2 linked regions of the Coturnix japonica genome follow. The protein of the gene in region 2 purifies or fractionates together with the protein of the main gene of each other region. This does not show direct contact. Links are inferred from orthologs where the notes say so. Each region holds a gene or a part of one and is shown on either strand. Other genes may lie near its edges. The genes, in order: RRM2B and RRM1.

Region 1 (4,279 bases), on a different chromosome or scaffold from region 2:
CAAATTGTGCAGGTCAGTGTTACTAAATAGTGTGATGGATGGGTCCTTGAGCTTTGGTGCTTGCTGTTTTTGAGGGGGAAGCTCCTGGGATATCAGCACTGTGGTGGGTTCACCAATGGAATTTGTTGGTGTTTGCTGGGTCAGTTGGGTTCCTCTCATCATTTGCTCTGGATCAAGAAATGGAATCCTTGGTACTCAGTATGTGAAAGAATGGAGCGCTAGTTGAATGTGGACATTAGACAGCATGTAAGGGTATGTTTGGGCAATGAAAGTGGCTCAAAAAGAGCGGTAGTCAGGTAACAGCAAATGCTTGTATAAGACTGTATTTTCTCCTATTATGCCTGTAATATATTCTGGTACGCTGTTCAGTAGTGTGACTCTTAGGTATGTGTTTCTTGTCAGAAAACTCCATTTAAGGAAATCAAACCTGTTCTATGTTTGGGACCAGCAGTCAGTCACCCTGCTGCACAGGTCTGGTCACCAAAGCTTCCTAACCACCATCCCTGAGCTCCTTTACAGGGCTTAAAGAGTAAAAGCCACTAAGGGCAGATACGGTCCAGAAGAACTGAACACGTGTTTCAGCTCCCAGTTCTCACACATGATGGGGATGGTGCGGTGAGTGCGGACTCTTCTCCACGAGGAACATCAGACCTCCACATCCTTATCTCCTCCTCCTCGACTGCCTGTTCCTGGCACTCTGAGTGCTCCTCTCTGCAGTGTCTCAATCCTGGATGTGTGTCAGCAAACTGTCTTGGTGCTCATAAATTATTTTCCTTTCTCATTGGTGTTTGCTTTCAGATTTGTCCAGTTTCAAACCATTGTACCAAACCACTCCCTACTGTATGGAGCAGGGCTTTTCTACTCTCTCCCACCCCCCTTTTGATTGTGCTGACAAATGACCCCGTGCATCCACATGAACTGGAGCCCAAGGGCCGGGCCGGTCTGGAGACGAGGAAGAGGAAACAAAGGAACTCTGGCGATTGCAGTCTCTCGCAGCAATCTCTGTTGGTAAGAAGTGACTGCAATAAATGACGAGCATCATAGCAGTGCGTTCACTCACACTGCTTGCTCGCACAGACCCTGCAAGCAAGTCCAGGGCAAGGGCTGAGAGTTCTACATCTGGAAGTACGGCTGTTACACAATTGCTCGAATGTATTCTGAGATGTTGTCGCATGGGTTGGTTGGGTTCCGTCGTGTGCTTTGTATCTCGCTGACACTTTGAGGCGATGTATCAGAGCCAGCTGAGAACGCTGCCTTGCTCAGTTCTGCTGGCTGGCAGTGCTGTAGCAACGCCGAAGCCCGGTGGGTGAGGTACGGCTCAGCCGGGCCAAAGCCGGGCTAAGGGCCGGGCTAAGGGCCGGGTTAATGGCTGAGGGCCGGGCTGAGGGCCGGGCTAAGGGCCGGGCCCGGAGCAGTTTGCACCGCCTCCCGCCGGGCCCCGCCTCGCGGAGGAGGGGCGGCCGCGGCCGTTCCGCCCTCAGCCGGCGGCTCCTGCGGCCCAGAACCGCGGGCCATGGGGGAACAAGGAGGGCGAGCGGGCCTGCAGGAGGAGCCCGGGCCGGAGCGGGTAAGGGCGGGCGGGGCGACCAGCGCAGTCGGGCGGGGAGGCAGCGGCAGAGCGGAGTGAGTGCGGAGTGATCACACGACGGCCCCAGGCTCCGGCCCGGCCTCGGGGTTCGGTGTGCGCCCCGCACGGCTGGGGCCGGGCCGGCTCCTCTGCGGGCGAAGCAGAACCCGCCTCCGTGTCGGGAAGGGGAGGTAGAATCCTCTCTCCCCTCCTTATCCCTGGGTCTGAAGGGCGCTGCTGGGGAGCTGCCCGGGGCTCTTGCTGCGTCCTCAGGGCACGGTCAGCGCAGCCGGGCCTGAGGGCGTGAAGCTAAAGGTGTGCGAGGGAGAAATACACCATGTCCTTACAAAGGCTGGGTTCCGGCTGTACACAAGCTGATGGAAACTGGGATGTGCTGTATTAAGTACAAGCCTTAAATATACATCTATACACGCACGCTTATGTCTTTAATCAGTGTTGTGCTGTTCCCTTAATGCAGCTGATTTGCTCTGACCTGCCAGAAACAATTAGCAGAGCTTTGCTCTTCCCTCTGGGGTGCAGAGCCACCAGGTGCTCCTGTGAGACCCCACCTGCAGCACTGTGTCCAGGTCTGGGGCTCCCAACACGAGAAGGACGTGGAGCTGTTGGAGCAGGTGCAGAGAAGGGCCATGGAGATGATTAGAGGGCTGCAGCACCTCCCCTGTGCCAGCAGGCTGAGAGTGCCATTCTCTTCAGCTTGGAGAAGAGAAGGCTCTGAGGAGACCTTATAGCGGCCTTCCAGTACCTGAAGGGGGCCTACAGGAAAGCTGGGGGTGTGGAGTGGAGCCTCTGTTGTACACAGTGAGGCTGGGAGAGCTCAGCCGGCTTGGAGAGAATAGAGGAGATGGAGCCAGACTCTTCTCCGTGCAGCCAGTGACAGGAGGTTCCACCTGTGCATTAAAAACCCACTTTCTTGCTGTTCGGGTGGTCAAACACTTCTTCTATACACCAGAAGTGTTTTCCAGGTTATCTTTCTACATGATGAGCCCCGTGTGCTGTTTTTTAGAGGCTCAGGTACATCACAGTGGGGTTGAGGTGCAGGCTGCCCTTGAGAAACCATTGAGCAGCACTGTCACCTTGCATGCGTCCCCACCATGTTTGACGGCATCTTTTGAGGGCGCAGTGCAAGTGCAGCTGCAGTTTCCTCCTTGTACAGCAGAAAAGTGTTCCTTTGGGCCCTCAAGAGGTGCAGCTGCTCAGGGGCTGGTTGATGTGAGAGGTGTGGAACAGAGCAGGGCAGGAAGGCAGTGCTGCTGCCTGAGCAGGGCACGGATGGAGGGCAAAGGGGTGAGCACCCCAGGGAAGAGTGATGCAGCCACCTGTGGGGAGAGGGTGAGTGTCTGCCTGCGACAGTGGGCTTTTGGGCTGTATTTTTGTGACAGAGGGAAAAGTAGGGAATAGTAACAGCAGCCTTAACCAGGACTGTGCTTTATCTTCAGAGCTCCTCTCCAAGTGAAGCTGAAAATGGCTTGAAACCTCACGAGGAGCCTCTTCTCAGAAAGAATCCCCGTCGGTTCGTCATCTTCCCCATCCAGCACCCGGACATATGGAAGATGTACAAACAGGCCCAGGCCTCCTTTTGGACAGCAGAAGAGGTGAGCTTTGGGGCATGGAGCCTGGAGTGTCATCGCTAGCCCTGCTGCTGGCTTGTGATTTGTATGGGTTGGGGTTAGTTCTATAGATCATGAGGTACCTGTGCTGAAGTAGGACTCCCTTCAGGGTCAGTGGAAGGAAAGCTGCTTCCATCAGGTGGTTCAGCTGGCCTGATTTGAGTGTTAGGTTTAGGATGAGCGGAACTGTATCCTGGGACACTTCTCTGGGTATAGGGGAGCCTGTGTCAGAGGTATAGAGGCTGTGACCTGCTGCGGTCACTGTCTGCAGCTACCTCCTTGCTCATGTTAAAGATTCGGAGCACATGAGAATGCTGCTCTTTAATATTAGGCACTTATTTTTCAGAAAGGTGATGATGCTGTCTGGTGTCAGGAGAAGCTGATTTAAACAGTTACGAAGCACTGAAACTCCATCCTGAATAGCACTACTCTTACTGTATCACTGCTTCCTTCTTCCACTGTCCCACCACCTGTCAGCACATTTCCAAATGAATTGGAAAGTTAGATGTAAAATTGGTTTGTGTGTGTATTTATGCATGAGGATGAATATATATTTGTACATAAATTGTACCCACACACACGCAAGTCTAAAAGCTGCAGTTTTCCCACCTGGCCCCGCTTAACTGCTGCTGTGGCTCAGAAATGCCTTGGGAACAAACAGACAAAGAAAGATGGGCAACGCTAAGGAGCTTGTGGTTTTCTACCATGGTGAGAACCCAGTGGCACAGGCAATGCAGTTACTTTACACAGTAAACACAGTATCTACACGTGCTGTTCTTGGGTAGCATGGGGGCTGAACACCTGTCAAAAGCAACACTGCCTTCCATGCATCTTTTGACACACTTGGGTACAGGTTTCTTGCAGTACAAGCATTTATTTCTAGTAGAGTTTGTGAATGTCTCAGAGAGAGACCTGCCTGTAGATGCATGTTCATACTGATGCCAGTAAGGCTGATGCTTTTTGAAATCTGGTTTATTTATAACATGGAATTAAAACAATATATATTGAATGACAATAGTGTAAACTGCAAAGCAAACACAGGGTGTTGCTGTTGCAGAGAAACTGCAGTACTGTGGTAGTTTAT
Region 2 (2,763 bases):
CATACCTGCTTCCACCCATAGAAGTGCATGCTGGTGAGTTTGCCGTAGTTGGGTTCTGCAATGTGGATGTTGAGAGATTGGCTCTGGTCGATGAAAGCTCCTCTGTCTGCTGCCATCTTGAGGACAGTTTTCTGGGAGATCTCCCACACCGTCTTATAGAGCTGCTTCAAGTCAGCGGGGATCTCAGATATATTCTGAAAGGAAGAGTTTTTCAACGCAGGATAAGCCGTGACTGCTCAAACGTTCATATTCATGCCTACAAACCCTTCACAAACCACTGATGTCACCACAGTATTATTCTTGCAGCTGCAGCTCCCTCACTGAACCCAAACATTGGGGATCTGAAAGCACTTGAGCACAAAGAAACCTCGCTTGCTCTCAGAAGGTGCCCTATGGTGGAGAATTTAAGAGGAAAAAAGCTGTTTTCAAATAGGATGTTCATGTTTCGTCCTAAATAGTCGTGAGGCTCTTCAAGCACTTCAGCACTCCCACTCATGTCCAACTGCATGAGTAGGATGCACCTTTTTTTAGCGTGTGACTCCAAACACAGCAGCACTTCAATCCCCAGAGCACAAATAATCCATCCCATGCAGACTCTCCTACACACACCTTCCAGATCTGGATGCCATGGACTCAGCTCCTGTCTCAAGCCCACTCACTGCTACAAAATTACCCCTCCCCAGTCTCTGTGATAAAGGGGAACCCAAATAGTTGTGGAATCTGCATAAAGCAAAGCAGCTCAGCTCTCCATTTGTTCAAGTAATAATTAGCTGCATATTTCCATTGGAATTCTCTGTTCCGTGGGCAAGCTCCAGCAGGAACAAATTACAGCTCAGGCACATTCCCTCAACTTTCTGAAGGAAATGTTCCAGACCGAGGCTTCTCCTCCCAGGCTGGTTGAGTCATTCATGCACAGCAGACCTTAAAATCACTGCATAGCAAACCTGCTCCCAGCTGTCCCACCAGCATTCCTCTGGAGGGAGTCCCAGCCATCTCCCCCCCCTCTCATTTCCCTGCATACCTGGATGGAGCCATTGTGGGCAATGATTTGGTTCTTCATCTCCTCATTCCACAGACCCCTCTCCGTCAGATCTTTCAACAAATGTGGGTTCACAACCTGTGAGCAGCAAAGGCCAAGGAATGAGAGCACTGTATACTCTAAGCTACGTGCCCTGACTTACAGCACAGATGCACCTCCTAGAGGAGGTTTTCCACATAGAGGAGAAAAACCCACACCAACATGCAGAGAGATTTTCCAACACCTACACAAGACCTTGTGCAGCACTGCCAAACTTTCATTCTCCAGTTAACACTAAGCAAACTTCTGCTTGCTGGGACTGTTGGGGTATCTCTCCAGAAGCCCTGCACCTGACCCATGCAGCAGAGGCTGTCAAGGTCTAATTAAGTGGATTATTTTTTCCAGGCACACTGGTCACAGGTTCTCCTCAGCATTTTTGGCTTTTGACATAAATATCCAACTGAACTGAGTACCATACAAAGGCCTGGGTTGCAAAGGCCCACAGTGCGCATCCAGCTCCAACCCCCTGCTGTGTGCAGGGTCACCAACCAGCAGCCCAGGCTGCCCAGAGCCACATCCAGCCTGGCCTTGAATGCCTGCAGGGATGGGGCATCCACAGCCTCCTTGGGCAACCTGTTCCAGTGCGTCACCACCCTCTGGGGGAAAAACTTCCTCCTAAGATCCAACCTGAACCTCCCCTGTCTCACTTTAAAACCATTCCCCCCCCCTTGTCCTATCACTGCCCACCCTCACAACCACCCCCCCCCCCGTTTATATGCTCCCTTCAAGTACCGGATGCCCACAATGAGGTCTCCCCGCAGCCTTCTCTTCTCCAAGCTAAACAAGCCCAGTTCCCTCAACCTTTCTTCACAGGAGCACAGTCAATCAGTAGGCTCCATTTTGTCTTTTCCAATGATGAAAGTTATTGAAACTACAACTACAGAAAAGCTCTTTGGCAAAGCTGCCTCAAGTGCTTACCTGGAACTCTCCTGAAAGGACTCTGCGTGTGTAGATGTTACTGGTGTAGGGCTCAATGGATTCGTTGTTGCCCAGGATCTGAGCAGTGGAAGCAGTTGGCATGGGGGAAAGGAGAAGGCTGTTTCTGACGCCATACCTGGCAATGAAAGCCATGAGTTAAAAAGCTTCAACCAAGGGAGAAAGGAGAGGAAAGACCCAGGAACAAATCAGAGATTCTCAGCTCACACATGCAGAAATCTCAGCTAGAACAGAGCCCATGGGGTGGGCACACCCTGCGTGTAGCCATCCACAAAGAAAACCTATGAGGGGAAGGAAATTACAGGGAAATATATAGAGCCAATTGAGTTCTTGCAGTCAGCCTTTTGTCTTCAGTCATAACATACCCGATGCAGTTTGCATTTAAATCTAACCATGCAGTTACTCACTTTGCAATCTTCTCCTTTAAAGCCTTCCAGTCCCACAGATCGGACGGGGTGACATTCCACATGTCATACTGGAGAATCTGCAGGACACAAATTGTTTTCTCTGTACTTCATTAAACATGCTGTAAATCGACCTGCTGTTCTTATTAACTGTCTCTAAGGTTCAGTCTCAGCCAAGCTCCTGTATCATAATCTTCTAATGGCATGGAAGGGCCCCCAGCAGAGGCTGAAGCTTTTCTCTTTTGTCTTCCTCTTCACCCTGATTTACCTTATGCATTTCTTAATGCACTTTAATAGTCAAATGATGGAAGAAATATAGCACACTTTGCACTGATGTATCCCTGT

The links.
Region 1: the proteins of RRM1 (region 2) and RRM2B purify together in Homo sapiens (affinity purification with western blotting; 3 studies listed by BioGRID and IntAct, counting the BioPlex papers as one, with this or other methods). This does not show direct contact. The link is inferred for Coturnix japonica from reciprocal best matches to the Homo sapiens genes RRM1 and RRM2B.

What each region holds. Positions count from the first base shown.
Region 1 is NC_029517.1:117,701,740-117,706,018, forward strand, and holds the start of RRM2B (ribonucleoside-diphosphate reductase subunit M2 B), read left to right. Parts: upstream 1-1,460; 5' UTR 1,461-1,513; coding exon of another isoform or gene 1,514-1,567; intron 1,568-2,741; 5' UTR 2,742-2,857; coding exon 2,858-2,917; intron 2,918-3,024; coding exon 3,025-3,180; intron 3,181-4,279.
Region 2 is NC_029516.1:174,288,947-174,291,709, forward strand, and holds part of RRM1 (ribonucleoside-diphosphate reductase large subunit), read right to left. Parts: intron 2,499-2,763; coding exon 2,422-2,498; intron 2,133-2,421; coding exon 1,997-2,132; intron 1,118-1,996; coding exon 1,022-1,117; intron 195-1,021; coding exon 6-194; intron 1-5. UniProt on the Homo sapiens protein: Provides the precursors necessary for DNA synthesis. Catalyzes the biosynthesis of deoxyribonucleotides from the corresponding ribonucleotides.